2 linked regions of the Arabidopsis thaliana genome follow. The protein of the gene in region 1 interacts with the protein of each later gene in a pairwise test. Each region holds a gene or a part of one and is shown in the gene's direction. Other genes may lie near its edges. The genes, in order: BON1 and BAP1.

Region 1 (16,360 bases):
GTTTTCTCTGGGTCCCGAACTTTTGGCTCAGGTTTTTGTAAAGGAGAAGTCTTGGAAGCAGCGATCATGGACTCTGCATCTTCGATAAAACCCTCGAGGTCTTTCTTCTTTCGGGATACTATGGCTCGGAAAGCCACTGGAGTAGAAGAACTCAGTTTCTTAGAGTTACTATCAGATAAAGCCTCTCTTGCTTTCTTCAAGCATTTCTTGTAATGTGACACAGACGCAAGGTTTCTGCCCAACATGAAGAGTGATTGTGCACAAAGTTCAAATACCGTCACATGTTGCGAAAAGCAAGCAACACAACCCAACAAGTATGCGACTTCCATGTCACGGTCCTCTGCTTTTTCAGCTAGGTCTACGAAAACATTACCTTGTTCGATATGAAGAAGCCATGCGTCATTGGCATTCCAATGGATTGAAATCAAATCTTCAAGTATCTCCAAGGCCTTGATGTGATTTCCTTTAGCGATGAGATCTTCAGCGTCTTTGTAGAGTCTTTCCGCCATAACATCCTTCTTGAAAGAAGACGCCATAGTAACGATTCTTCACGATGATTCTTGCTCTCGAAGGTTTTGTTTTGTGGATCACGATGATTCAGAGAGATTTGTGAGAGTAGAGGCGGGAACAATCAACGATTATAACCGTAAGGTACTGAAGAAGAAGAGGCTGGCTTTTTATATCACGTGAGAGCCACGTGACACAAGCCTTAAACAAACAGAGAGAGACCCACAATTTTGAGTATTGGGGAATTTTGTCGAACACCTTGTGTGCATTATCCGTTTGGGATTTTCTCGGAATAAAAAAATCAAAAAAAGACCCAAAAATTGAGTGAATCTTCGAATATGGGTTAAGAATTGAATGTGGAATGGTCTTCATGTTGATGATGAACAACATTCGTGAAAATGTTTGGAGAGCCACACAAGAAAAATTAGATATTTTTATTTTTACAAAAAATGGAGAGTGATGTTGAAAAAACAATAAAAGGAACTCTTGAGAGGTTTTGGTTTTGCCGTTGAAGGAAAGACTCTAACTCGCTCGGAGTATTCGGGGATTTAAACGAACCAGAAAGATAACCGAGCCGGTTAAGTGGTTGTATCTATTGATGATGTTAAGCGATGTCGTTTGAGGTAATCGCTATAAGACGTTTAGCTCAAGCTCTGCATTTTCTTTCAATCTTTTTTTTCTCGCTCTCTATGTTTTCTATCTTGTGTAACAACACTCTTAAGACTCAAGTGATAGTGAATTAAGAGGTACCGTAGTTATACTTGGATCACATCGATCTCATCAAAAAAAAAACCAAAGCAAAGATAAAAAAGTGTCTTCTGGTAGATGGAAACATCAATGCTAGACTTCTCCACATTGTCACTTGTTAGGCCATCGATCAGGCAGCTTCGTAAAGCAGAATCTCTGGCCGAACCTTCCTCTCTCCACAGAATCTGACCACATTCTTCCAGTCACCAACATCCTATGCCATCACCACACATATATCAATCATTCATGTCTACCTTATCTAAATTCACTATACAATTCTGAGGTAGACAAAAGGTAACTGTTTCGACTTACCTCTCCTGCTATACACTCACGTCTGAGATTGACCCACCGGTTTTCTTCATAAGCTAAGCATATGTGTTCTTCATCTCCTTCACTGTAACCAACCTGGATCACATCCCAGATATTCTTACACTGTAACTAAGAAATACAAAAGAACAATAGCACAAACATATATGACCCTGTTTCAGATGTTTTACCATTGACACAAGCCTGTACTTAGTGTTTGGTGCTAAGCCTTCTTCGTACAGCCTGCTGATATCTATCTCCCAGTCAAAAGCCTTTGTTGTTTCAGATATTTCGTTTTCAGTTGCACTATTCTCCCATTCCAATACTGATGTTGCAAACCCACAAAACACCAACATAAATATATGATATGAGTACAAAAAAAACATCACAATCATGGGGGTCAAAACCTTACCGATTGTGAAGATAGGCGGGCATCTACTTGAAATGTGCTGAACAGAGTTCGTCTTTCCGCAACCTTCTGCGTCACATACCATTTTATATCTCAAGCGGATCACCTTTAGGATATCTACAAAATTTCTATTCCCCAAAGCACACTGCATGTGTTTAAGCACAAAACAACTATATAAGGGGAAGTACCTGCAGTTTCTGCTGGAAAGACAACGAGGATGATAAATGATAAATACCTTCAGTTCTCTGATTGTATCTGCTGCCGTAACAATGCCATAACAACTTTGCTGTGGATAATTTGTAATCCTTCTGCATTTTATACAACTCATTCTTTTATTTTCCGCCGAGGTAAAGAGGCGAGTTACCAAGCTCTCCCTTTCTGGATTTTTCCAGCAACGCCAAAAATCAAGGATGGCTACTACTACATTAGCAGCATCACTTGACTGCAAAGAGCAAAAAAATAGAATACCTTTAGGATATTAAATAAGATTAATGACAACAAACAATTAACAAAATAATGCTTAGAAGCATATCTTCTCCACACGAACCATGGAAATAACTTCTTCTTGGGAAGTAAGTAAGTCCCTCAAGAGGCAACTGTAGACACCCTCATCTTGTATCGCTTCTGAAACAACAGCAGTAAATAAATTTTGTAGTGCAATAGGAACTTGTTCTTCCTGGTGGTCTTGAAATGGTTGGTTCAGCAAATCTTCTTTGAGAACCTTAATGTTCAAGAGGGCCTGCAATACCACATGTTTTTGTGAACTTCTCAAAAAGAATAAGGAATCAAAAGATGAGAGTTCAGGTATTGAATCTTGTTTTGATTGATAATTGCTTTACCTTCAGCGTCATGTCAAATGCTGAATTGTATCTGGTTGTAGCTTCTCCAGCTACTGACTCCAAATGTTCCGACAGTGAATCTTCTCCAGGCATGTTTCGCATATCTTTAAAATGGTCAATGAAAGAAATAAGAAGTTATGAACCTCACAAGAATATAATTCAAATTATTGCTCAAATCGAGAAGCTTTTAACTACCAGGGTCATCTTTAGTAGCTTCCACTTGAATTTCAGTTTTGGATGAAATTTTCAATTGACCCGTCTCACTTGCAAGAGCATCTTCTGGTTCCATAGAACCTTCTTCGATCGTTCTTAGTGATGAAGATGTACTCTCCGGTTTAAGGTTGACAGAAGGTTTACTGTACATGTAAGAAAACGTTTTGGTCAGAGAAAACGCGAAAACAATTTATAACATGCGAAACTGGCCATTGAGGTACTTACTGTTCAACAGTCTTATCAAGGGAACTAGATATGCTCGTTGAAGGTTTCTGTTTCGCCAAGAAGATCAATCAATCTCACAAGTAGTATATACACAAACCATGGAATCCTACAAGTAAGGAAACGATATCTACATAGAAGATATGATATCCCTATAAGATAGGAAGACGTTATTGACTTGTTCCGAGAACTTAAAACCGATATCACTTAGGTTTATCCGATATATCTTATGTAAAATATTTTTCAGAGAAGCAAATAGAGAAATTAGAACTTCAAAGACCTTTTTGCTTCTATCTCTCCTCTTCTTTGATTGTGGCTTCTCCTTTGATTGTGGCTTCTCCTTCGATTGTAGCTTCTCCTTCTCCAACTCGTTTAAAAGATCTGCTTCTGCTGCATCTGACTTGGCTTTGGATTCCATATTCACAATTTCGTTCTGGATGAGAAGAGACATAATAACATATGAGAAACAATTTAAAGGCAAAATTTGACGGATAATAAAATCTCTCTGTATATAACAGTTTCAAACCAACCAGCAAGAAAGGTTTAAGCAGTTGAAGGATATAAGTGCGGTTGTCAAAAGCAGAAAGCCTTGTGAGGTTGTTTAGCAAACTCATCCTTGAATTATCAATCAGCAAGATCTTTGTATCCATTAAAAGAACCTGCAAGTCATATAGACACTTTTAGATGGACAATTTCATGTTATTCTGTTGTTAATGAATATTAAAAGATGAACCTTTTGGGTGACCACTGATTTCAGAAGGTCTATGGCCTGCAACACTTTATCGTCACTGAGACTTTTGTGCTCACGTATAAAATTCAAGCAATCTTCTAAATCGAGGAAATCAAGTGTTGGATGCAATGCTCCTTCGAAAACATCCCGTACTGCACACACGAATAATTTTGTAGTTAGGGAATTTTCGGGGACTCTCTCTTCACACACATCGCATAGAAGAGATGCATATCTGCTCCATTGATCTTCCGGCAGATTCCTTCTCCTTTCATTTTCTCTCACACACATGTTCTCGACATCAGTAAGAGCTGCATCATAGTCCACGACCTGTAATTTCTTTGCATATTTGTTTCCCAGAGTCCTACAGGTGAACTTAACAGCTTTCAGAACAGCCAACCAGATATCAAGATTGTGTTCCCTGATAGGTCTGGGAAAGGTCTTATCTACTGAATTGTAGTCAGTTAACCAGGATATGATATCATCTCCATGAACTGGTGTCTTGGCGTAGTGAACACTGGGATCAAAAACATTGATCGTCCCTTCATCATCATCGAATTGATCATCATTGATTTTCAGCAGTCTTTTATCTAGAAGCAGAAATGAAAACTGAGGGTCAAAGTCGATCTTTTCTTTAACTCGAGTACGACCCAAGACACTGTCCACTGCTCTGCAAACAAGATCTGTACCATCATTCCTTTTACATTTGATGTGGTTTAGAAACTCAAGGATTTGAGTGAGTTCCTGACTTTCTAGAAAACAGATACTATGAGGTGTTTCTACTAAGCGAGAATCGACAAGACTCTGTTCAGAAACTTCAAGTTTTCCAAGATGCTTAGCTGGAAAACACATCATCCAGTCTCGAATGCTACAAGAGAGAATTTTAAGGTCGCAAAAAGAGACAAGGAGCAATTTGATTTCCTTGAGTAACTTACTGCGCTCTTCATCCACAGCTAAAGGCCATTCTTTGGACCATCCATTCTTAGCTTTAGATGCAAACGCTTTCACATCTGCGAGCTGGTTCTTGATCATTTCAGTGGCAGCGACTGCATCCACTGGTTCCCAACTTCCAACTATTATCTTACGAACCCAGTCTTTTCCTATCCTCTTGACTATATCCTTTTCTGAAGAAGGTTTGAAATCTGCAGCATGTTGTTGTTCAAGATGATTCTTACATTCTTCAGCACTAGAGAACTTCCTCGAACACAAAGTTCGGCATATCCAGAATTTCCATTCTCTGTCTTCCTTTGCCGAAGTGAGAACCTTCTCTAAAACTTCTCGTTCCTCTTTGTAATGTCCTACTCCCTCAACAAAACTTGTAAGCTTTGCAATGCTTACTTTCATAAAATCCCTTTTGATCTTGACATCCAATCCCACCCAGTACGACCTCAATCCTTTAAACGCATCCTCACGCGGGTCTTGACTTTTCTTTGACTCCACAACTTTTGGTTTAGTGTTTTTTACAGTAGAACCAACTAGAGTCTTGGAAGATGCGATCTCGGACTCTGCGTCATTGATTAAACTCAACAGTGCTTTATTTTTTTTGTCCAATTCTCTTTGCGCTTGCAAACTCAGTTGAGCAACAGAATCTGACTTGCTTGGGAGAGAGTTAACAGATAAACCTTGTTTCGCTTTCTTCAAAGACTTCTTGTAATACAATACTGACCCAAGCATTTGGCCCAACAGGAAGAGTGAACTAGCACAAATTGGTGATAACGTACCATCTTCCGAGAAGCATTCAGCAGAAGCCAAAAAGTAAGCAAATTTCACGTCAGGATCCTCTGTTTTCTTCGCTAGGTCATCAAACATTTTACCTTCTCTGATATGAAGACGCCATGCGGTTATATCTTCCCCATGGACTAAAATCAAATCTTCAATTATCTCCAAAGCCTTGATGTGATCTCCATTATCAAAGAGTTTTTGAGCATCTTCAAGGAGTTGTGCTCCCTCATCATCTTCCATGAAAGAAGAATCCATAGTAAACGAAACGATTCTCAAGATTCTTTTGCTTTCTTTTTCTCTAGGGTTTTTCTTCTTCGGAGAGAAATCTGAATCGCGAGAAGAAGCAGAGTCGACGCGGGGAAACTCAAACGAAAGTAACTGACTAATGACAGCAAGGCACCGTATCATCACGTGAAAGACACGTGACAAGGCTTGATAGCAAAACAGAGACACAATTTTGATCATTGGGGAATTCTATCAAACACCTTGTGTGCATTACCCGTTTGAGAATTTCCCGGAATAAATCATCAAAATAATGAGTGAAAATCTTCAAATCTAGCTCAATAATTGAATCTAGAATCGTCTTCATGTTGGGTATGAACAAAAATTCGAACTTGAAAAGATCAGCAACAAGAGAGAGATTCGACAAATCAAGTGAAAGAAATAAAAAAGTTTTTTTCATTTATTTACTCCACTACCACTAATAAAGATAAATACTAAAGCTTTGGTTTGAGACAAAAAAAAATGCAGAGAAGAAAGCTAGTAGAAATCTCCATCTTCGTAATCAGAAAATCTAATTTTTCATCTTCCATTAAATCTCTAACCAATCTCGACGTCGACGTTTCAGTTGATAATGATGAAGATCCTCTTTACGCCGACGTACCTAAACCTCCGAAGGATAAATCGGAGAGGAAACCGTATCCGACTCCGATGAAGGAGTTGATTCGTCGTGCGAAAGAGGAGAAACAACTGAGAAAATTACAACCATGTCGAGTTCTCGAAGATCCACCGGATAATGGTTTACTTGTGCCGGAACTTGTCGACGTGGCTCACTGTGTTCACCGATGCCGTAACATGTTGCTCTCTGGCCTCTCTAAAATCATTCATCATGTTCCTGTTCATCGTTGCAGGTTACTTTCACTCTGTCTCATCTCTGTGTTTGATTTGCTGATACTTCCTATTGCTTGTTTAAGCGTTTTATATAATCTATACAACCAGAATTTGATCCTTGAAGTGTTTTGCGTGCTTTGTGTGGTAATTGATTGGAACAGAAGATCCAGTGAGATTTGAAAAAAAATTGAGACTTAAGTTGGCTTTAGCTAGTTTTGAAGTTTGAACTTGTGTGGTTTGTTTGCAGATTGTGCGCTGAGGTTCATATTGGCAAGCAAGGTCATGAAATCAGGACTTGCACTGGTCCCGGGAGTGGTTCAAGAAGTGCGACTCATGTTTGGAAAAGAGGAAGAGTGAGTGATGTTGTGTTGTTCCCAAAATGTTTTCACCTCTATGACCGTGCTGTGAAACCGAGAGTTATACATGATGAGAGATTTACTGTCCCTAAAATCTCTGCGGTTCTTGAGCTATGCATACAGGCTGGTGTAGACCTCGAGAAATTCCCATCCAAGCGAAGATCGAAACCTGTGTACAGCATCGAAGGACGGATTGTGGATTTTGAGGACGTCAACGATGGAAATTCAGAATTGGCAGTTACTTCTACTACTACACTTATACAAGAAGATGATCGTTGCAAGGAAGAGAAGAAGAGCTTGAAGGAATTAAGCTTCGAGACGATGGAGTCATGGTTTGAAATGGTTTTAGGGGTCAGGAAACTGATGGAGAGATACAGAGTGTGGACTTGTGGGTATTGTCCAGAGATTCAGGTGGGTCCAAAGGGACACAAAGTAAGGATGTGTAAAGCCACAAAGCATCAGATGCGAGACGGAATGCATGCCTGGCAAGAAGCGACTATTGATGATGTGGTCGGTCCAACCTATGTGTGGCATGTTCGGGATCCTACTGATGGTTCTGTTCTTGATAATAGCTTGAAGAGGTTTTACGGGAAGGCTCCTGCGGTTATAGAGATGTGTGTGCAAGGTGGTGCACCGGTACCTGATCAGTACAACAGTATGATGAGGCTCGATGTAGTTTACCCTCAACGCGATGAGGTCGATCTAGTCGCTTGACCTCTTTAAGTATTCAGCATTGCTTAATGATTTAGTATGGACACAGTGAAATACTCCCCTGTAATCTTAGGTTCAGGTTCATCTCAATTCTTAAACCTTGAACCAGTTCAATTTCTTGAAGTCCTATAAATTTATACAAGAAATCTTAAAGTTCCAGATTGGTATCTTAAAGGCGTTCACTGTTCAGAATAGAACTAGCGATTGTCTATTAGCCAGATTCGTAGATTAACCCGGTCTTGTTTTTCGATGAACTGACATTGTTTTACACGAGAGGCACTAAAGAATGTATTAAGATGGCTGAAGACAGGTTGACCAAAAAAAAAAAAAAAAAAAAAAAAGATGGCTGAAGACTCTTTGTTTAGGCGGTAGAATAATCTCCTTCGTTTCTTCTACATTGGTGTTTAATTCTCAGCAGATGTTGTGATCGACCATTCAAGCACTTCTCTAACTCATTACTCTCTATCTTTTTTTCAGAAGAAACAGGTTGATATAGAAAAAATGAAAACTCATATACAGCTTTGATCCTCTTGCGATCCTTGCGGTTCTTGTGATCCTCCCTATATAGAGGAGCCTCTTGGTCAGCCTACAAAGTAAAAACCATTCAATTCTCGACAGCTTTGTTCCTTGCGGTTGAGATCTCACTTCGCAGCTTCTCAATCGCTTTAACCGCTCCAATTATCTTCCTCTCCATCCCTTTCAATTGCGCAAGTTTCTCTACGTTCCCACTCTTCTCTTCCTCGAACTCTTTCCTGTTCCATCAAACCAATTGGTTAAAAAAACTGATGATGAATCTTTAACAGTTACTTGACACGTAAAAGACAATTCTTTTACCGTAATCTCTGATGCTCCTCTTTCAACCGCTCAAGCTCTTGACTCGACGCCTCTAAACTCTCTGCCTCAAGACAAACCTTCTTCAAATCTTTCATTCCCAACTTCACCTTTGAAGCAAGCTCCTCACGTTCTCTCGCCAATCTATGAGCCTCAATGTGAGCTGATTGCACTTCCCTCCTTATATTCTCTCGATTCTTGACCATACCCTCCATTTTCGCTATTTTCTCAAGAGTCGATCGGATCTGAATCTCGTGGTCTGTTTCCGTCTTTCTGATGTGAGCTCTTAGCCCCTGGACTTCGCGGTCAGCCACGGTTAAGTCTTCCTTGAGAGCTACGTAGCTTGAAGCTAGTTTTCGGTTGTCATTAGAGAGCCGGTCTATCTCAGCAGCTTGAACTGCAATCTTGTTTTCTAGAATATCAGAAAGTGAAATCTGGTGGTCTCGAAGATGACGAGGATCCGAAGTCGAAGAAATGGTATCGTGGTGCCTCGACGATGATGATCCACTAGTTGACATACCTTGGCTAACTCGGCTATGATGATTTGAACCTATCCTCTCCCTTGAAGACATTCTGGAAGAAAGAAAAAGACAAGACTCCACTCAAAAACTTAGATTGAACAAAGAAAAACAAAGAGTTCCTTTTTAACCTAAAAACTTAAACTTTAAGAAGCGAATTGAGTGCAAATTCTAAATTCAACACTATGCTATCTTCTTTCAGACAAATTATCTATGCAATGAGATTGAGTAATCGAAGACAATGGCAAATCTGTAGACATCGTATCTTGACACGAGCTAGAAGAAAACCCAGAAAGAGGAATTACGAATTAGATTCTCAAGCTAACAACAAGACCCAATTTACCAAATCCTAAGAAACCCTTATATCATCCTTATCACAATTGGACGAACCTGAAATTCACAAAGAGAGATGATCTTCGATTAAAATTAGCTGAAACCGAACACCGAAATGAGATAAGTGTCGCAAAATTAAGAGCTTTATGCTCTAAAACCTGATCTCTAATCAAATCAAAGACAACGATCGATTCCACAACAGCACCAGCTTTGGTCTCGGCTTGTCAGAAAAAAGTTCCAGTTCTCTGTAAATTGTGATTTAAAAACCATTAAAGACGCCAAATTAGTTTCGTTTATAGATTTGGGCCAGTATTAATCCATTAAGGCCCATTAGATAGTAATTGGCCCATTTTAATAGTTTCCCTTCCATGCCTGTCACGTGACCTTCAGCTTCCTTCTCTGAAAGTCATCTTCTTCTCCCGACTTTTTTGAACAAGGGAAGAAGAATCCAACTTCATCAATTCAGATTCGCACGCTTGAAATTATCTGAATAAAAATCGAAAGCTAATAATGAGCTGATCGCTAAAAATATCTCTCGAATTCAATCTTCCTGATTTTCAATTTCTGTCTCTAGGGTTTCAATATCCGATAAGTAAGTTTTGTTCTTGCTCTTCTTACCTCATTCACATATCTCTCTTTGATTTTATTTTTTCTGAAATTCAAGAAGCTTTTTCTGTTAGATTCTCATAACCTAATTCGTTTTGAGGTATTTATTATTATTTCTTGATCCCACATTTGTTTCAATCGCTTTAAGCTCCAAATTTGTAATTTCAGTGTCATCTTCGTACTTGTACTGAAATGCATTGAAAATGGCAGAAGCGATGGAGACGGAGATGGATTTCTCAGATGGTGAACAAACTAATGGTAATTCACATGTTACTGCCTCCCAATACTTTGCTCCTCCGGGTTATAATAGAAGTCTTGTGGCTGCTTATGGGAATGGAAACACAACCATTGGATTAGAAAAAGGAATAGAAAGGAGACTAGATCATCATGAGCAACTACCTGGTTATATCTTTATGTGTAATGGGAGAACGAAAACCGATTGCTACCGTTACCGTGTTTTCGGGATTCCAAGAGGAGGAAAAGACGTTGTTGAGAGTATAAAGCCAGGCATGAAGCTTTTCCTCTATGACTTTGAGAAGAGACTTCTTTATGGTGTGTATGAAGCTACTGTTGGTGGCAGGTTGGATATAGAACCTGAAGCTTTTGAAGGGAAATATCCAGCTCAAGTAAGCCTGTGTGTGAAACACATATGATTTTGTTTATATGGCACTGCCTAAGATTGTTCTTTTCTCTATTTTCTTACTTGATTTTGGCAGGTTGGATTTAGAATTGTCATGAACTGTTTACCCTTGACAGAAAACACTTTCAAGTCTGCTATCTATGAAAATTACAAAGGTTCCAAATTTAAGCAAGAACTTTCTCCTCACCAAGTAATACACTTTTTCTTGCTATTTATAACACAGCCTTTCAAAGTTCCAGGCTTTCCGGCTTGGCTTTCAAGTTTCAATTATGATATGCTAAACAAAAATGTTCATGGATTGCAGGTTATGTCTCTGTTATCATTGTTTCGTTCATTTACGTCTCCAGAACTCGATTTGTTGCCTCATAGGTTGGCTTCCAGAGCTTCAGCACCTAGGACTCTATCGTTTGAGGAAAGGTTCATAGCGGCTACACATCTTAGAAATGCTTCATCGGTTTTAGATCCTCTGTCTGCTCGTCATGTAGAACCACGACTTGGCTCTGTTATGGCCCATCAGCCTGTTCCCCGCACATCTCTGCTTCAACATAGTTACTTTAGACAAGACGACTACACGACCCCACCTAGAGAAAGTCTGTCAAATTTGAATCAGCCTTATTATCCTACAGAAGCTCGGCAACTACGGTTGCTCGGAGACCCTTCTCGCTCAGATTCTCCTCGGTCCGAACCTCCGCGGTCATCTATTCAGGATCCTCAACTCAAATACCTCACCATTTTATCTAATATTCGGAGGTACCTATGGTGAACTTTTATCTTTGCCCAAATATGTCGATCATAGCTCACTGAAGACCTGAAGTTGTAGCCATCAGATGTTTAAAATCATAGCTAAACCTGAGAACTCTACTAGGTTCCTCCACTCTTCAGATGTTTACATTGTTCCTATTTCCTGGCTTTGCAGTTACTTATATGTGAATGTGTAATCATAGGGCTTGGTTTTTTTGCAATGACAGATATGGATCTGCATCAGATCGCTTGGCCTCAGAAAATGAATATCATCCGGCAACACCATCAGAGAAGGACCAGTTTGCTGTACCTTATTCTGATAATAAAAATTACCCTTCGACTTTATCTGGGAGTGAGCATCCTTCTGCTTCTGCAGCTAATGGGAGTGTGTATAGAAGTGAGTTCTATAATTCAGCATCACAAAAGGAAGGGGAAGCTAGTCAGCAGCATGAGATCCCTGCTGGGACTTACCATCACCCAGAAGCATCAACAGTTTCCAATACTACAAAGTCCATGCAACCAGATATGCAGGCAGTTAGTGTTGCTCAATCTCATACCGAGACAGCTGGCTATCCTACACCGGCACATGGTGAAGCTTCACAACCACCTGCTGGAGCAATTGGTTACACACACCAACCTCAAAGTGTAGCGGGTAATTATAGCACGCATTCACAGCCTGGGAATGTGGAAGAAAGTACACAATCATATGCTGGAACAGATAGTTACTCACAACAGCAATATTATGCAGCTATGGGGCCTACTACTCAACTCCATGCTGGTGGATATATTCAAAAACCTCATGAAATTGGGTACTCTCAGCAACCTCATGATGCGGCAACCGGGTACTCTCAGCAACCTCATGATGCAGCAACCGGGTACTCTCAGCAACCTCATGATGCAGCAACCGGGTACTCTCAGCAACCTCATGCCGCATCAACCGGGTACTCTCAGCAAACCTATGCTGCAGCAACCGGGTACACTCAGCAACCCCATGCGGCGGCAGCCGGGTACACTCAGCAACCCCATGCGGCGGCAACCGGGTATTCTCAGCAACCCCATGCTGCAGCTACCGCGCACGCTCAGCAACCCTATGCTGCAGCGACCGCGCACGCTCAGCAACTCCATGCTGTAGCTACTGGGTATGCTCTGCAACTCCATGCTGCAGCTACCGGGTACGCTCAGCAACCCCATGCTGCCGCAACTGGGTATGCTTTGCAACCACATGCTCAAGCTGTTGAATACACAATGCAACCACATGCTCAAGCTGTTGGCTACATGCCGCAATACCATGCTCACGCTGTTGTATACAGTCAACAAGGTGTGACGCAAGGTTCTGTACCAAGGGCTCCTGGGACAACTGATTGTAATGCTGCAAACCAGGCATATTCTGCAACAGGAGATTGGAATGCAGTGCATCAGTCTTATTACCCTCAGACAGCAGATGCAACCACAACGTATTATCAAACATCTTAAAACGTTAAAGCAAAGTGTTGCTACTCTGGTATGCCAAAGAGGATTCTGTTAAGTCTCGTGTATTTAAAGCATTGTTTCGGTTCAGGTGAGAAACGATTTGCTGAAAACCTATTTGCATTGGTATTGCAGGATCTGAGAAACTTGTGCGTGATGGGTGCGGAAGCATGGACTCGAACTGGTGCACTCAGTGGAAAAGAAGGTCAAGGACATAAAACTAGAGTCTCCAGCTCCGTTTACTGTAAGTTTAAAAGTTCTATGTTACGGTTTGATCATATTCATTTCTGAGCTGCGCATGAGGAAATTCCTCAAACCATCAAAACTTCTTTAAGTCCCGTTTCAGGAGTGCAATCTGAAATGCAATTCTGATTGGGATTTAAAGTTAATAAAACATATTATAACTCTGTTATCATTACTTATGCTAAAACATTTCTTTTAGTATGGTCATGTTTAATACTTGGGATTTGCTATTAAGAATACTACCTTCAAAAAGGTTCATCTTAAACACTCTCTCAAACGAAACCTAGGGACCAAGAATATGCTTATTGGCTCTAAGATTAAGTGGCCTAAACCCTAAGCCATATCTATTGGTAGACAAAAAAGAAAAGAAAAGACTCCTAAGTCTCCCACTATGTATGTTTGAGCACTTGCACTGCAATTCACATGTTCTTTGTTTTTTCTCTTTCTCTTTCAAAAAAACTTTTTATCTATTTCTTTCTTCTCCAATAAAAAAGATTTTAAAAGACACCTATCTCACTCTTTCCACCTACTTTGTTTTGTTTGCTACAGAATTTACTTAAGGCTCTGGTCTTGCCCTCTTGTTTCTTTTTTTTTGGGTCAAGGGTCCCGTATGTTTACAGCTTTGTTGGTTGTGTCACAGATCATCAAAATATTATTGACGAAGGAAAAAATACTGAAATTGGGAAAAACATGATCAGATCCAACTCTCTGAATTGTCTCGAGGTCTTTTTAATTGGAATTGAAAAATGCAAATTTTCCTGATAAATTTGGAGTTAACGTTGGCTTCTTTCAATAGATGTCTATTATATTATCTTTATCCACTTTTTGAAAGTTATAGTCCCCATCTATCATCATTTACTGATATGATCTGTGGGATTTTTTTCTACAAAATTTCTGAGTTGTGTGAACCTTACGATTTGTGTTAAAGATAAACAAAGTATGACCTCCATGGTAATAAACTACTAATTATCTTTGTAAAATGTTCTCACGTGAAACTCTCTCACTATTTCCTATTGCTCACTTTATGTCCCCATAGCAACAACGACTTGTACTCGTCTGAAAATTTCTCAAATTTCATGTAAATAATAATAATAAAAAAATTATTACAATTCTTCGCTAAAAGCATCACAGATCCAGTTGGCAAAAAGAATTATATATATACTATTAGTGCATTGCAAATAAAATTATTAAAGACCAACTGTTTGTCATATAAAATATTATAAAGGATTTCATAGATAATATGTATTTGATATAACAATTATAATCGATAACAATATTCTGATATTGTAAGCTGGAAAGATTATGTCACAGAAGTTAATTGCTCTAATTAAATATGTCTGAGGTTAATCTGATATTGACCAACACGTCGTTTACTACAATAAATACAAAAAAAAAAAAGAGAGCGAATTTCTCAGAAAACAGCTTAACGTTTCTTGGATATTTCGTAAGTCAATATTAATCAAATGAAAACAAACAAAAAAAACCTATATAAGAAGGAGACGCTGTAAAACAGAGCGAGTCAATTAAAAGAAAAGAAAAAGCGCGACTTAGACAAGTGGGTCCCATTTACTGCTCTCCCAGATTATCATTTTCTTCTGAATCTTCTTCTTCTTCCGAAATTCCTCACAAAAAAATGTTTGTCTCTGTTGTTCGATCCAGGTACTTTTGAATCCGCAGTTTTTTTTGTTGGGAAATCAAAAATTATGGGGAATTGTTGCTCCGATGTCGCCTCCGGTGCTGGTGCTACAGCCGGCGTTGGTGGAAGTGGTTCCTCCGCCGCTCTCGGTGCGACTAACGACGCCCTTGATTACTATCTCAAGTCCAAAGGTTTCAACGGACTCTTCTCGCAGATAGAGGTTCCTTCACTATCATCTATCTCTCGTGTTTTTTCTCTACTTCCGCCAAAAAACGTTTAACAATGATATGTGTGTGCTTCGTTTGAAAGAAGAAAACTGCGAAATTCGATTTTCCCTGTATATTCTGAGGATTCATGTTTGATACTGTTTTTTGTTGATGCAGCTATCGTTTTCAGCTTCGAATTTGCGAGACCGCGACGTGCTCTCCAAGGTTACTTTGTTATTCAAAATTGAATTAGTCTTCATAGCTGGTCATTTTAGTTAATGACAAACTTTTTGTTTTTTGTTTTTTTGCAGAGTGATCCTATGGTTGTTGTATATCAAAAAGAAAAAGATGCAACACTTTCAGAAGTTTTCCGCAGTGAAGTTGTTTTGAACTCTTTAGCTCCGAAATGGATTAAGAAATTTATAGTCGCTTATCATTTCGAGACTGTGCAGACATTGGTGTAAGTTTCTTATTATCTTGTGTGACTTGAGGAAAGAGATGAACCTTTACCTGACTCTTTGTGTTGGTTTCTTTATACTCAGGTTTCGTGTGTATGATGTTGACACCAAATTTCAAAATTCAAGAGAGGAGGTAATTGTTTATTTACTGCCTGCATTTTCATTTGATCTGATGTTCACTTTTCTCAATATGTTAATACTTTTCAGATGCTTAAGCTTGACGAACAGCAGTTTCTTGGTGAGGCAACATGTGCATTGTCTGAGGTATCATTTTTGACATTGACAATATATGTGCACTTGTTTTTGCTGGTTCTCTGAGAGGCACATCAGAAATTTTGTTTTATTGCCTAGCTTATAAGAGAGAGAGAGAGAGAATACTTTATATTTAACTTTTCAACCACGCAGATAATCACAAAATCAACTAGGACGAGCACATTAGAACTCAAGCGCAAAGATGGCTTTGCTCCACAGGCTCAGCCTCACCACGGAAAGCTTATCATCCATGCTGAGGAGTCCCTTGCTTCTAAGATTTCAACAGAGATAGTATTTAGATGTTCGAATTTGGAATCTAAGGATCTTTTTTCAAAAAGTGTAAGTTTTGTTGTTTATTCTCTTTACCATTTTAATAAAATTCTAGTTCTGACATCAATATAACACTTTTTTTTTGTTGTGGCTCAACTTTAGGACCCCTTTTTGGTGGTATCAAAGATTGTAGAGCATGGAACTCCAATTCCCGTGTCTAAAACTGAAGTCCGGAAGAATGATCTTAACCCTATTTGGAAGCCAGTCTTTCTTAGTGTTCAACAAGTGGG
Region 2 (16,321 bases), on another chromosome or scaffold:
ACGTGCAATGAAGCACCCAAAAGTCACTTACTATCACACTCCATCATCAATGTCCGACGACGATCTAGTGACTCTACTCGGTGGAGAAAACTCCATAGATATCATAATAGCCGCTCAAGCTCTTCACTACTTCGACCTAAAGAGATTCTACCCCATAGTGAAACGTGTTCTTCGTAAACAAGGCGGTATCATCGTAGTTTGGGTTTACAACGATCTCATCATCACCCCAAAGGTTGATTCCATCATGAAACGTCTTGTGGATTCAACATTACCTTACAGAAACCCGACTATGAATTTGGCGTTTGATGGTTATAAAACAATAGAGTTTCCTTTTAAAAACATTAGGATGGGGACTCAAGGAAGGCCTAAAGCTCTTGACATCCCACACATGCTTTCGCTAGATGGATTTCTAGGGTTCTTAAAATCATGGCAGCCTCTAGTGAAAGCAAAGGAGCAAGGAGAGGATCTTTTAACTTCTTATATGATTGATGAGTTTAAGGAAGCTTGGGGTGATGATGAACAAGTCAAGGATGTTCACTACAAGGCATTTATGCTTGCAGGGAAACTTTAGGTAATTAATATATGTTCCCCTTTGAGATATATATTAACTATATGTCATACACGCATGTCATCAATGATCAATCGAATTAGGATTGAAAACTTATGTTTAACAGGTCTTGAGAGCAACCTGGTTGATTTAAATGCGGATCATTACTTTGTATAACTTTCGTTTCTGTATAAATTAATATATTAATTAATATATTTATAGCACTGTAAATATAAAGATGTTATATATAAATAAAAGGTTAATATAAGCAAGATGCTCATATCTGAAATAAATTTCTTCACAAATTGATTTTCATTAGTTACACTTACCCAAATAACACTATTTAATAAATCTAATTCAAAAATTTAAAATAGTGAATAAACTAATTGATCGGCATAAAAAAAATTGTGGCTATAGTTTTGTACACTTCACCTAAAAAAGTTCTTACAGTTTTTTACTGTCTAAAAATAGGAAAAAAATAATTACAAAAGAGAGAAAAGTCAACATTACACAAAAAAAAAATCAATTTGGAAAAAAATCAGAGTAGGTTAAAAATGAATTGGGCAAAATTCCGTGAAACTGGGAGCCCAGAAGACACCGACATGTCTTCTACTCCGATCTCGTCCGACACGACGGCGGTGTCCAAAGTGATCGATCCAAATTACGTATTAATGGTTGCTGATTTCTTCAAAGCTATTTCCCCAGACGAATCTTGCAACGATTTCACCTCTTTCGACTCTTTCTCCGTCTTATTTCAAAACAATACCAGAGCTCTCTCCATCGCACGCGGCCGTGTCTCGTGCTCCGTCACCGTCACGCCAGGCATATCCGTAATCATCTTCTTCTCTCTAATTAGATCAAATGGGTTTCGTAAAGTTTCGATCTTTGATTTGTAAAATTGATTGGTTTCGTTGTGAAAACAGAATTTCTTTAAGGGGTTACATGGAGGAGCGGTGGCATCAATTGCAGAGAGAGTAGCGATGGCTTGTGTGAAAACTGTTGTGTCTGAAGACAAACATCTGTTCATTGGTGAATTGAGTATGTCTTATCTCTCTTCTGCTCCTATTTCGGTAAGCCACCTAACATTCATTCTCGTCTCTCTTAAGACTCTCTCTGATCTTCAAAGCACAGAAGCTTATATTGTTTGAGATTTATTTTGCAGAGTGAATTGTTGGTGGAGGGAACGGTGGTGAGGACTGGGAGGAATCTGTCGGTGGTGACTGTTGAGTTCAAGATCAAGGAGACCATGAAAGTCACTTACCTATCTCGTGCTACTTTTTACCATTCTCCCATCTCTAAGCTTTAAAGCTTTTTCACATGCTCAGTGATCTTTTGCTGATCTATTTACATTCTTCTGTTCAATAAAACAAGATTCTGTATACAGATATTACTGTCTTTAATCAGTTTATACAACACTACTACATTATCATCCACCTACGAAGAATTTTGCATCCCCATTTAGCAGAGTATGACAAGGTGAGATCTCTGAAGTCTCTAAAGTAATCAAGTGCAGTGGTTTGACATAGATACATGAATGGATGCCGTTTGTGTTGGAAAGTATAGATCTATGGAAGAGCATCCGGGAACCAGGTTTAGGCCTCAGGCGTATATTGCTTAGGAAAAGGCCTCATCACGTTTCTCGGTGTTTCCATCAAGGACACCAAGTAAGATTTCCTGAAAATGGTAACTTGCATGATTCTTACACGAAATCAACCCATCTATCAAGCTAGCTGTAATTAGATTGGGGGCCTCAAATATTTAGTAAAATGGTGGTGGTGCATCAGATGTGTCACAGCCTGTGAGAGAGAAGTACAAAAGGAATCAATGTTTAAATTGGTAGTGTGCCACAACAATCTCACATACAGGTCCTCTTTTATTGGTCACTTGCTGCTGCTCAAAATGTTTTCACCTGCTTCCACTAGCGTCTATCATCACTTCATCGCAAGATTTCTGGTTAAGAAAATGCTCAGAGACCCAATTCACTGACAAATGTAGATCTTTTAATATTGAGTTCCTGATAACATGCTCAAATTGGGTTTACGAAACTGTAAGAACCAGAAAGCCATGCCATATTGCCATCCCATACCGTGTGGTAGAGAGCTTAAATGGAGCAATAAGATAATTGGGCTATTGATATAATTAAGTGGGCTTTTGCCCATTTATCACTGCTACCCAGTACCCAACTACCCATGTACGCTTTTCTTATAAGTTCCTACACATTATCCCACATCGCTAATATGACAAAAAACACTTGATTGTATATAAAGTGTGAGGAAGCATTGTTGGTCACGACCTTACTTGAACAGGATCTGTTCTATAGGCTCGTACCTCTGTTTCCTTGATTTCTAAGGAGACAGGCCCTTAACCCTGGTTGATGAACCATGGCCGTGCGATCAGAGCGTGATTGACGGCTACGATCGTCTTAGGACGCATCTGGTGCTGTAGAGGATCGTTACTCGGCTCGGTTCTACCTTGCCGGGGTGGTTGCACGGCGGTCTGACAGGTTCCATTTTTTTTCACTCCTTATATTGTCTTGTGGGATGTTTTGAGATGACCACCAAATTTGATATTCGAGCACGATTTTTAAAATTTTACAGTAATGTGGGTATTTCGTCCCAAGTCAACCACTTTATATGTACAACTCTACATTCCCTCTACGAAGATAGTGCATCCCAATAATGAGCAGACTATGAGAAGCTAGCAGAGATATTCTTCTTTTTTTGGTTTAAAGAAAAGCTAAAGTCTGTCAAGGAATCAAGTCCAATTGGATCCTGCACTGAATACCATTCGTGTATGAGGCATGGAACTAACGAAGGAGCATTCAGGAACACCTGCTTTGAAAAAAGGCATCACCATGGTACTCGTCAATGGAATCTCTAGCTTGTGTAGACCAGGATTTACATAAAGCCACAAGTAGGAGCTAGCTCATGTAAATGGAGAAATGCAAAAGTGATTTGAGAGCACTGATCATCACAAATCACATTAAAATAATGATGCTTATGAACATACCTCATCTAGAAATCTCTCAACAACCCTAAAAAGTATCTCTGTGTCTTTCGGTTTTAGCAAATTTTACATGTAATAATGAGAATGCGGATATTCATAATTCTGTTTCATTTCATCGTAATGAACTCGGAAATTCATAAGCCCATCTTGAATTCCTCATAATTGCTGTCTTGACCTGTTAAAAAACAAACAAACCAAGAGTCAACCTTGACCTGTATACCATCGTATTGTCTTAGTCGTATCCATGTTTAATTTCGATAGTGTGAATATATGTACGAGTTATAGACGATATATAACACTTTTTGATCGTTTTGTGATTAAATCACATGACATAAATTATATGTCATGTCAAGGCTAATATCCAAAATTTTATGAAAGAAAAGAGAACAATTTTTTTCCTATTAATAACAAAAATGATCATCATTGACTAAATCATATGATATGTCCAAGTTTATCCTGTGATACGATGCAACTGTTGTTTCTTTCCATTTTTCCAAATTATAGACCATTAAATGTCAACTGGGATACACAGTACACTGCATCAGTGCATTCAAAATTTCCAATGACAATTACTAGCTCTGGACCAAAAAATTAAGTACCGCTAATCATTTTTTCATTTAATGAAAGATTGGTAAGATGTGTTATGAGGTCACCGAGTATCATGTCACGCACATGACTCTGCATTATCTGACAGAGATGCAAATGAGAATCATAAGATAGAGTAGATATGTGGAAGTTCGTGGAAATTTAGATTTTATAGACTTGCTATAGGTATTTATAGGTCAACTTCTTTTAGTGTAGCTTTCCGGATATATATGCAACGTAAGGCACAATTTTCGTCTAATAATTACTAATAAATTCATTCACCTAACTTTATTTCGAATTTGATAAGATTATGAAGTGACTAGGTAACAATAAGATGTACTAATTTATAGGCTCTAACCGGTGAAATCATTTGTGGGGAATAAGCCAAATTATACGCTTAAACATGAAGAATGATGCTGACATATAATCTTTTTTCTTGGTGGATATGCTGATCATATATAATCTGTTAAATAATTAGCATTTAGCAAATATGTTAGCAAATTAACCATAAAACAATATTTTTTAAGAATTTTATTTTTTGATAATAAATATTAGCTAACTTGGTATATATAAAACCTAATACCGATCTTTAGGTAATTAGATGGAAACATATGTTGGCAAATGGGTGAGTTCATAATTTTAACATAAATGTAAATTGTTCAAAATTTCTCAATGTAACAGCTAGGTTTTTGTCTTGATTTCACTGTCTTTATCGAATACTGTAGTAGGTTTCCCAGCCACTGCCTTTTTTAAATATATGTATGTAATATTTTTCTAAGGCTCGATCGGAATCAAAATGGAAAATCCCCACCATATCCTATCAAAATGGAAATACACATCATATCCTATCATTTCCCTTTGTCGCATATGTAAAAACACTATTAAATTCGTTGTCAGGAACACTTGAAAGTGGCTTCGATCGGTGACTTTAGTCTTTAGATGAAGTCAATGGACTTGGCAATGTTTTTTTACCCAATATTTCCGGTTTTATAAATCTAGTGAAGTTCCAGACACTGTGATTTAAACATTATTTCGGAGGAGACTAAGTTATCCGTTTTAGTCTCTAACCAATTTAGACGTATTTAGAGTTCAGTTCCAAACTTCACAACTAATAAGAAAAGAAAAGAAAAAACAACTTCTTATGGTTGATATACGAATTGATTCAGTTTCGATGGCTATATGATACACGCCGATTTAATTACTTTGGTAGCAAATTAGACCCTTAATTTGAAGAAATAGATAAATTTGCAAACCTAGCTACCAATGCGATTAATCGATTATATATCAGATATCATTGTTTCACCAAGAAAAAACACTATAATTATTCAGTGTCAGAATATTTTACACGCAAGTACTATAGTTGATAGATCGCACTATAATAAAATTATCAGATGGGGTTTTAATTCCACAAAGTGTGCTGACAAACACATGGTGACGTCACACATTGTGATCCATGCATGCATGAAAAATCCAAGGCATGCTAGTATAAGATTAGACAACGTAACTCCTCCTGTTATAACAATATGATCATTACCCTTTTATAGTACATATGGCCAATCTATCTCAAATTTATACAAACTAGTATATAGCACACCCATACGTTAATTAAAAACACAATGTAAATCGGTTTGATATTACAAGTTAGCTTTTTGAACATTAAGGGCTATTATATTTATCTTTTATTAAAAAATGATAATTAAGGGGCATTTCCACATAGAAAAATATATGTAGTATATATAGAATCGTATATATGCGACTATGATCAGTTTGCGGCTCTCGAGTGTTGTGGGACGTTAAGTTGTTCTTCCTCCAAATCGAATGGCCGTAAAATGTTAGCTTTTCAGATTATGAGAAGACTTTTTGAAAACTTGACGCAAAGATTAGAAAATTGAAGCTGTCGAGTTAATGTATTTTGCTCTACATCCAAATTTTTTTTTTAATACTTGAAAAAAGATATACAATGCGAGTAGAAAACAAAATACAACGTTTCATGGAAATCAACAAGAGAAAAAAGGTTCCAACGAAATTCGTAACTGCAGGTTAACCCAAACAGATGTTTCCAATACATGAGAAATTCGAAAGTTATGTTTTTTTTTTCTTTCTGCAAATGATGTTTTGATGATATATATGCGGTACATATTTTCAAAAATAGATATTATATTTTTTAAGGCATATATATTACGTGGTGAAGACTTAATTGTAATTGTACCTTACGTGCAAACATGATCACATAATCATCATAAGAAACCATAAATTTCTTTACTATTTGTTTTACTATCTTCACTTTAAATTGAAGTTTATTTTTTTGCACAACCTGTCCAAGAATTAAGGAATGGTACAAGTGTACAACCGTACAAGTAGGACATGGAGTCAACGACTCCCCCAATATTTTCCATGAGTTTTCGTTCCACTCGTAAAAAAAGAAAAAGACGAAAGTAATCTATACGTATTAGATAATTAGTATTTTTGATTGTTTGATAAAGTCTACGTATTTGAATGTCTAAGTAAATTCCAACCTTCTTAAACAAAAGTTAACTCCATTTACACTAAGAGGTCGTACGAAAATATATTCAAATGAGTTGAATAATTCTTGATCAATATTTGGTGAAAAGTTATAACTATAGTTTCCGTTCAAATAAACGTTTTGCGAAGGAATTTTCCACATAATTTTCTCACAAGTTAAGTTTTTTAACATCAAGAAAAAGTATTTTGATGTTATTATCCTGAGTATGTAAGTTCTAATTAATATCTAAAAATATAATTAAGACTCTGTCGACAACTAAATATCAAGGCCATATAGAGCATACTTAACAAAAAAAAAAAACTTACACCATAATACGATACGAGTATGGACACTTCATAATTTTAGTAAATTATTTAGAACATGATTACCACATTTTATTTTATACGACAAAACTACATGGATTTTAGGAAATCTTGAGCTGGAGTTGAGATAAAAAAGAGTCAATTTCAAAAACGAATAATTAAGTAGATCTTAAGGAAGAAATAAACGAGTACTTTCCTTTATACAATTATACTCGTGTTTCATCGTAGCTGCTGGTACGCGCATTTTTTTATAACAACGAACGTTCTCGCGTCTCGCCGCGTTTATCACGCTGCTGGATTCAACTCGCTTATGCGGTTATGCCACATTGTTTTAATTCCTTTTTGTCGTATTACACTTTTAACTAGACAACATTATTCAAAAAACAAATTGTGTTTATATTAATTAGAAATCTTGAGATTGATGTTACGTAAATAAACTAACATCGTGATTCGCGAGATTCGAAATGTCATATAATCACAAAACTAAATTTTTTTTTTTATTATTATTATACTAGTAATAAAATACTCAGAATTTAGTTTATTTTATATTAAAAAATGTTTTTAAAAATGTAAATATATTTGAGAATTTATGACCACTTATAATTTATAGTCCTTTTCATAATTTACACATTCATCTAAATAGAAGAAAATGAAGGAGTAATATTTAAGCTGAAGCACAAAATTATATATGAACTAACACAGCAAAGAGTTAAGTATTATTTATCAAAAAACAAAAAATAATGATTCATTTGAAAACAGTTTTATTGTTTTCATAAAATATATTCAAACAATTTTATTTTATTTTTTGATATAAAACCGAATTCAAATGAACAAAATACTAATCTAAAATTTAAACGTAATTTCCTTGTCTTTTTTTTTTGTTGTCTTTGCCCTTTTTTGTTTGGTCGACTTCTTTATATCTTGATAATGAGCTGGCGGGAAAAAGAGAAGAAATCTCCGAGCGACTTCTTTCCAAACTTCCTTGTCACCTTCCTAAGTGATGTTGTCTATATATAAACTTGTTCTTTCATTCTACTTAATGATTAGACCAACAAATAAACATTAAACCCAAATGATATATTTTGGTAGATCAATCGACAATCATTATACAACAATGATGACAAAAACATTGGAGATTGATTTGAGATCAGCAGAAGGGCTTAAGCTAAACCGGAGACCCATCAAGAAAAAGACTTTCGCCGTCGTAAAAATCGACGAGAAATGTCGAAAATCTAATCTTGACGAATCGAGAAGAAGCAATCCTACATGGAACTATAAATCAGAGATGCCCATCAATGGTAATGAACAGTTTATCTTCATTGAGGTATTTTATCGAACAGGTTCTGGGCATGATAAAAAAATCGGAGAAGCTAAAATCCCAACGAATGATTTCATGGGAAGGTATTCACCTGAAGGTCACTTAAACTTCTTGAGCTATAGATTGAGAGATGAGTTTGGTGATAAGTGTGGGATCGTCAATCTTTCGATTTTGGTTAAATCGGATCCCACCAGAGATTACGGCGCGTGTTCGTCCCAAGCGGCGGTTACTGGTTTGTGGAGGCCGAGATTAGAGACGGCATCGATTGATGGATACGGTGGCCGGACTGTTACCGGAGTTCCGGTTTGGGGTCTGTATCAACGCCAATTTTAAAATCTTTTTTTTTTGGGGGGGGATGCACATATTATTAATTCTTCGTCTTTGTTCCATAGATTTTCCCAATTTGGAATTGAGGAACAAAGATGTGTGATTAATTTTTGTTATAATACTCACGAAACCAAAATTGAAAATAGAAAAGTCAAATTTGTTCGACGATGATATCTAAGAACTTGTTGTTATAGTTCGTGCATGGTGTGTTTGTTGGAAGAAGAAAACAAAAAAAAAAAAGTCTTGCAATTGTTCTGGTTTGTATTTAATGATTGTGAGTTATTGTAACGTTACTTGCGTGGTGATTTGTTGCGGATATGATTAAACAAATATCTAGTGGTATGTTTATAATCAATTTAAATTGTTTTGAGAATGTTACGTCATATAATCTTTTTTTTTTTTTGTCAAAGTTACGTCATATAATCTATGATATTTAATCCTTCAAAAGAAGAAGGATTTTCCTCAAGTAAAAAAAAAAAAAAAAAACAGAGACAAATTGAAATATTTATATTTGTTTCACTATGATAGATTATGGGCATGTTTACAAAAAAATCGAAATGAAATTGTAATATGTTTATGCTGTGACAATTTTATACCGCACAACTTTAAGACTAGATAAAAGTAGTTTCTCTGCTGGTTAGAGAAGAGATAAGACTTCCACGGATATAAAATGTGCAGTGTTAGATGTACCTCACGTGGGCACTTTGTTATGGACTTATTTTGGCTTCACTACGACCGTCTGTTCTTGTTTATGATTTTTTGTTTGAATTGATTTACTAATTAACAACTTCACAAGATTATAGAAATTTCAACCATTTTGGTAAAAGTTTGTTGGCGCAATTGGGCTTAGTCTCTGATTTCGGCCGACTTTTAAAATAGCGGCCACTGGCTTCAAGCCTTTTACTAAATCCACACGTTTCTCTCTCGTTCGTTACTTACGAGTTACGGCTTACGACTACAACACAAAACCCATTATTATTTTAGATAATCTTTATATGACTCTTCCTCTTTATCGCCCCACTAAAAACCAAAATTTTTGAACCAAACCAAACCAGTATTCGGATTAATTATCCCTACTTACAATCATATACTCATGTCAGGAGGACAACTGTATACACCCAATATTTTTAGTTTTCTTAGATACATAGTTTAATAATCAAAAATTATGATTATCCTAACGGACTAATTCATATATTATATGCTACTTTGAGTGTTCTCACACATCTGATGTTGCATATAACAAAACTAGGTATGATTTATCAAGTTTTTGTTTATTTCCATTTATATATCAAGTTTCTAAATCTCTTTCCTGTTCTTATAATTTTTTTCTTTATTTTCGAGAATCTATTTAATTATTTATTGACTTTTCATTTTTGTTTTATTCATGTATCATATAGACTATTATGTATAATTAACCAAGTTCTTATTTGTTTCAAATTTTATTTTATTCTTTTAGATATTTTTCTTATTTGTTTCAAAAGATCTCTTTCCGTTTACCTACTTAATTACTAGTTGATTTATATTAAAAAAAACTAGTTTTAGATTTTGTGATTGATTATATATATATATATATATGATATTTGGGTGTACATTATCGTTTTACTTTAAAGTTTTTCATTTCTATTATATCATCTAAAATGACTAAAACCATCGTTATTGCTATCTTCATAGTCGTCCTCTTCTAGGTTTAGGTTTGCTTTATACATATAACATATTAAATGTATTTTCACCTTTTTCTCATTTGTTCACAGTTCAGTGTGTTGATATCACTTCTTTATTTTATATTAAAATTTTGAAATTATATATTTTATTATTATTATTAGGGATGGTGACTAAGGAAACACAAGCAGAAGGAGAAAAAGTGTGTGTCATCATAATCTTATAACACCAACCGAAGGCTGTAAAGCTTCGCCGTGTGATGCTATGTGTGCTTCAAGGTTTAAGGGAGTAGGCGGGTGTTCTAAAACCGATCAGTTTACCTGCAACTGCATGTTTATTTGCAAAACATGATTTGTCTCTGTTATCCATAAATCATCATCAAAATTTGTTTTTTTTTTTGTATCAAACCATCATCAAATAGTAATAACAAAGCAACGGGTTTGGAAAAATTAATATTGCAGTCTCCAGGTCCTCTTTCTTTGTTCTTTCCTCTGTAATGATCAAAGAATTATAAACATGTTTTAAGGTAATGATGAGCTCATCACATTCACAAAGACTGAGAGCACAAATTTCCTCCTCCTCACACTTGCTCATTGCCACTATGTTCACCATTTTTGAGAATATGGAATTTGGAGAGGGCAAGTCGCGTTGATCCTTAGCCATTTGTCTACACATAAACTGTAGAAATGTTGTCTACAAGGAAGTTTTGTCGGACTTTTAAAATAGCGGCAATATTGGCTTTAAGCCTTTAACAGTTTAACTACTTCCACACGCTTCTCTCTTGTTGCTACTTACGATTACAGAATAACCACATTAGTATGGTAGATAATCGTAATATGATCTCTTTCTCTTTTCCACTTTTATACGTTTCCACTTTTAAGTTAATTTCTCTTTGTTTGAATACAACATCTACTTAATTACTTGTTGATTTTTAACTAATTTTAGAGATTTTGTGATATCTTATATATGACATTCACGTGTAGATGATCATTACACTCATTGTCATCTTATTTTTGATAATTTCATTTCTGTTGTATTATCAAAAATGACTAAAGCCATCACTCTTGCTATCTTTATGGTCGTCCTCGTTTTAGGTTTGCTTTATACATAACACATATTTTAATATTTTCCACGTTCCGTCTTTATTATTCATACTAGTTTTTCTTCAACAACACCTTTTATTTTTCTATCAAAAGGAAACTGAGACTATGTTTTAATTTTTTTGTATTAGGGATGGTGACAAAGGAAACGCAAGGAGAAGAAAAACAGTGTTATGATTATCTTTTAACACCGCAGGAAAACTGCGAAGGTTTGATATGCGCACATGAATGTACTATGCAGCATGGTGGAAACGGCGTGTGTGTTGATACTACAAGCACGGTCTGCATCTGCACTTATGACTGCACCAGTTGATTTGTCTTCTGTTATCCACAAACTATATCATCAATCTTTGACTTACTACGTTGAATAAATTTTTAGAATACAATTGATTGCAGTGATTTATATATATATTTTTGAATGTGAATTCTGATTAAATAGTGATCTCTCTCTCTCTTTTTCACCTCACTACAATGACGTCACAGCAATATAAACATGCATGGTTCATCACCGTACATTAATCTAATTAATCCGTTGCTTAAAAACACCAAACGGCTAAAATCACAACTGACTCGATGAATAACATCTTCCAACCGAACTATATATACTTATTGCATTTACAAATATCATATCCAAAAAGACAAGATGTGCAGCTTCATCTCAAAACAAATCTCAAGGTCTTCTTTCTTGTTCTTTCCTCTGTAATGGTCAAAAGAACAAACAGGCTTTGAAGTAAATGATGATGATGAGCTCATCACATTCCACAAAGATTGAACAGCAAAATCTTTCTCCTCATCACACTTGTTCACTGCCACTAGGTTCACCATTTTTGAGGATATTGAATTTGCAGAGAGGGCAAGTAGCGTTGATCCTTAGCCATTTGTCTACACATAAACTGTGAAAATGGTGTCTACAAGGAAGCTCCCTTAGTTCTACTCCATCTTCATAAGCACATAGACAAATGCTGCATTCCTGCAATGGTTTTTTTTTTCCGGTTTTGCTAAAGTCAGTTCAGTGTCTTTATCCAAATTCGATAGAAAATGGGAGATTTGATTATGGTTACTTACAGCATCTTCGCTTAATAACATACGTTCGGTTTGAGACTCGGTATCTAATCCAGTCATTATCCCTCCTTGAGTTTCCCGTATTTCGCCATTCACTTTCTCAGAATTCTTTACTGTGAGAAACTTGAATTTTAAAAGCCTCTCTATCTCTTCATCCGGTGCACCTTCCTGAAATTTACAAATCGCTTAATAGGATTCACCAAGAAACATGAGACTCATTTGTTCTTCATCATCATAATGTTTCTTTACCTGATCTGCTAATGCGTACAAGATCGCAATGATGCAAGGTAAACAGCAACAAACAGCAATACCAATAAGACTAGCAACCGCTACGCAAATGACAACAAACATAACATCAAACGCAAGGAATGCAACACAGAGCCTGCAAAACACACAAGAAACAAAGATTAAATAAATCACAGAAACAAACTCTTGAGAATACAAAATCACAACAGCCAACTTTTGTTAGAAACAAACCAGTAGAGTTGTGGCGAAGATTGAGCTAGTGCCTCGGTATCAGCCGTCACCCAGTAAAACCCGATGATCCACCACACAAAAGAGAACATGGTATTCGCAGATTCAAGGTGCTTAGTGAAACTAGAATAGGAAACAAACCACATGAGAGTAGATCAATGGGAAACAGTTCTCATTCAGTTCTTTATTTCTATACAATCCTAAAAGTTTCCTTCAACCTAACATGGCTCTGAATTCTAAGCTAGTATAAGTCTATCACAAGAACCAACATTGCTCTGAATCTAAGCTAGTATAATGCTGTAGCCATAAGAAAGAAATTGAACCTAGTTCCATGGTCATCATCATCAGTGTTGTTAATGCTATAGCCATCAGATTCATCTTCACTTCCGCTAAGAGACTCGTGATTGGAGGAATCTTCACCACTAGGAGGAGGAGAATTAGCAACACGGCGACGTTTATACTCAGCAATGACACATCCAACATGAAACAAACACTGAACATTATACCCAATGATCCACAACCTAAGAGGAACATCAGGATCTTCATCAGAACTAAACCCTAGAATCGCGATTGAAACAATCACAAATAGGAAATTCCAAAGTATATCGAGAACTATAATGGGTTTAGAGTAAGCCCATTGACTCTGCCGTTCCTCAAGCTGCTCAGCCGCCACCTCACGGACTCGAACGGAGGGCTCACGGAGCATCATCCGGCGGTTGCTAGCACGGCGGAGAAGTCTCGACGCCGCGCCACGAATCGGCTGAGAGGACCGTGGGCGGTTACGTCTGTTCCGGCCAAGAAGCGGCGAAGCGTCCATCGTATCAGTCGTCGGAGAAGAAGATACGGTAGAAGGGATCGATTGATTCATCAATTAGAAAGATTGGATCTTGGGTAATCGGGTTGATCCAGAATCTCGATGGATCGGGTTTGAATTCGCTGGAAATCTGTCGACTTTGCGGGGTGGATGATTCTAGGTTTCGAGGACCAGTTTCTATCTAATGGATAATTGACAAAACGACAAGAGAATGTCTTGTCCCCAATAAACGTTTTGATATCATGAGACTACAGTAGTTTTATTCTTCCGGGAAATTCTAAAAAAATACATAAACTTAATGTAGTTGCTCAAATCTTTTTATTTTCCAAAAGGACTTTTTATATTTTTGCTAACATTTTTTGTACCCCCACAATTTGTGTTATGTTAAGTTTATATCTAAATTATATCATTGTAGTAGACATACTTTATTTTCGAGGTTTAAGGCTCAATTCAATATCTAAATTTTGAGAGTTTAAACTCCAAATATGCGTATTATAGTTAGAAGGGGATTATTTGATGGATCCTTACAACTTATTTTTTAAAGATTAATCCAACTTATTGTACATGAAAATCAGAATTGTAAGATAATTAACTGGATTTTATTTACATATATTTTATAGATAAAAATCTATGAGAATGCACCTTGGACCATTCAATGTATTACAAATTTTAAAATTATTAGTTGTATATATAAGAGAAGCTCTCTTATTTAATTTTATTTTAATTGATTTTGTAAATATCCTTCCTATGTTTATATATTTTATGATTTTGTTTCCATTCCCACCATCTAAATAACTATTTATTTATTGATTTTGTCTACTTTTTTTTATTCATGTACATACTATATGTATATATTTAATTTCTTTTATATATATATAATGATATTCACATCTATATTATCATCAACATTTCTGGTTTTTTACTCTAAAATTTTTATCAAAGATGGCTAAATCCACCATATTCGCTATTTTCATGATCGTCTTCGTTCTAGGTTTGCGTTACATATACCATTCTTTAAAACATTTAATACATCTTTTTGGTTCTATGAAGATTGTGTTTAAAGCTTATGTTTTAATATTTGTTAGGGATGGTAACGAAAGAGACGAAAGGACAAGAAATGTGTCGTGATCTTTTAATGAGAGCTAAAAACTGTGACGATAGCACTTGTGCTACTCTGTGTAAGCAAAAATGGAAAGGAAATGGATCGTGCTTCCCAAACGTATATAGAAAAAGCTGCCTCTGCACATTTCCTTGCAAAACTTGAACTCTTACAAAGTCAAATTGTAATTTATAATAGTAATAAAATAATGATAATAAAACTAATGATAATGACAATGTCACAATGATAATGACATGAAATAAAATTAAACTTACACAATGTCTTATATTATTATATAAATTCTGATTTCATTTTCTTATTTCACATGAACTATAAGCTACTACTTGAGCATATGAGCTTCACAGGGATGGATCATGGATATAACAATTATTTTACAAAATTAAAACATTGGTATATTTGAAACAAAAGTCTTAAAAACACATGAATGAAAGCGGAATGAATAATCTTAGTTATTCCTTATCTAAATTAAAAACATATACATATTCATTAACTAAATAAAATCTGACCTACCAAAAAAAAAACAAAATCAAATCCAATGGTTTTGATGTTGGGCAAGAAACAGGAAATCTAGTTACAAAAAAGAGGTTTTCTTTCATATCTTATTGTTGAATTAGATGGCATTTAAATCAAAAGTTTATCTCATTCTAAAAGTGTTATTTGAATTCAATTCTATTTATATTTGAACAGATTACTTTCTAAAACACTTACTTCCATTCTCACTATCTCTTGACTTGTCCATCTTATGAATATACAGTTTATTTGGATTTTTATTTTCTTTCTAATTAATATACTTGAATGCTTTCCAAATCAAATGCGTCCAACTTTTTTTTCTATTAGGATTGATTGTATATTAGACACGTAGACACACAACTTCACACATATATATAAAGATGATATTTACAAGTCACATATATTACAAAAACCCTCATTTGGTTTAAGATATTAAAAGAACTTCAAATCCTTTTTTTATAGATAAATATCAATGAGAATGCAATTTGGACCATTCAATATATTACAAAATTTAAATTATATATATATAAAGCTCTCTTATTTTATTTAATTTTTATTGATTTTTGTAAATATCCTTCCTATGTTTATATATTTTATGATTTTGTTTCCATTCCCATCATCTATATAACTATTTATTTATTGAATTTGTCTATTTTTTATTTTTTTTTCTTCATGTATCATACTATATATATATATATATATATTTAATTACTTATATATATATATATATATAATATTCACATATATATTATCATCAGCATTTCTGTTTTTTTACTCTGAAATTTTAATCAAAGATGTCTAAATCCACCATTCTCGCTATTTTCATGATCGTCCTCGTTCTAGGTTTGCCTTACATTTACCATTCTTTAAAACATTTAATACATTTTTTTTGGTTTTATAAATTTTTTTTTAAAGATTATTTAAAATATTTGTTAGGGAAGGTAACGAAAGAGACGCAAGGACAAGAAATGTG

What was found.
Region 2: the proteins of BON1 (region 1) and BAP1 interact in a two-hybrid assay, tested with the Arabidopsis thaliana proteins (2 studies listed by BioGRID).

The regions. Positions count from the first base shown.
Region 1 is NC_003076.8:24,857,742-24,874,101, reverse strand, and holds the start of BON1 (Calcium-dependent phospholipid-binding Copine family protein), read left to right. Parts: upstream 1-14,760; 5' UTR 14,761-14,803; intron 14,804-14,829; exon of another isoform or gene 14,830-14,907; coding exon of another isoform or gene 14,908-14,951; coding exon 14,952-15,104; intron 15,105-15,267; coding exon 15,268-15,315; intron 15,316-15,401; coding exon 15,402-15,550; intron 15,551-15,632; coding exon 15,633-15,681; intron 15,682-15,755; coding exon 15,756-15,812; intron 15,813-15,953; coding exon 15,954-16,139; intron 16,140-16,232; coding exon 16,233-16,360. Other genes in the region: AT5G61950 (Ubiquitin carboxyl-terminal hydrolase-related protein), read right to left, coding at 1-536; AT5G61940 (Ubiquitin carboxyl-terminal hydrolase-related protein), read right to left, coding at 1,385-1,468, 1,567-1,659, 1,752-1,885, 1,973-2,114, 2,205-2,411, 2,517-2,708, 2,809-2,912, 3,004-3,164 and 4 more; APO3 (APO RNA-binding protein (DUF794)), read left to right, coding at 6,437-6,822, 7,050-7,872; AT5G61920 (FLX-like protein), read right to left, coding at 8,474-8,621, 8,704-9,272; AT5G61910 (DCD (Development and Cell Death) domain protein), read left to right, coding at 10,373-10,783, 10,874-10,987, 11,102-11,547, 11,766-12,840, 12,935-13,039, 13,141-13,249, 14,908-15,104, 15,268-15,315 and 5 more. UniProt on the Arabidopsis thaliana protein: Negative regulator of cell death and defense responses. Negative regulator of several R genes, including SNC1. May have effects in promoting growth and development.
Region 2 is NC_003074.8:22,643,131-22,659,451, reverse strand, and holds BAP1 (BON association protein 1), read left to right. Parts: upstream 1-7,853; 5' UTR 7,854-8,036; coding exon 8,037-8,615; 3' UTR 8,616-8,849; exon of another isoform or gene 8,850-8,998; intron 8,999-9,076; 3' UTR 9,077-9,293; downstream 9,294-16,321. Other genes in the region: AT3G61210 (S-adenosyl-L-methionine-dependent methyltransferases superfamily protein), read left to right, coding at 1-571; AT3G61200 (Thioesterase superfamily protein), read left to right, coding at 1,102-1,377, 1,471-1,617, 1,710-1,853; LCR54 (low-molecular-weight cysteine-rich 54), read left to right, coding at 11,314-11,362, 11,500-11,681; AT3G61180 (RING/U-box superfamily protein), read right to left, coding at 12,162-12,338, 12,434-12,598, 12,680-12,812, 12,908-13,027, 13,228-13,772; LCR53 (low-molecular-weight cysteine-rich 53), read left to right, coding at 14,661-14,709, 14,804-14,982; LCR52 (low-molecular-weight cysteine-rich 52), read left to right, coding at 16,143-16,191, 16,285-16,321. UniProt on the Arabidopsis thaliana protein: Negative regulator of cell death and defense responses. Exhibits calcium-dependent phospholipid binding properties.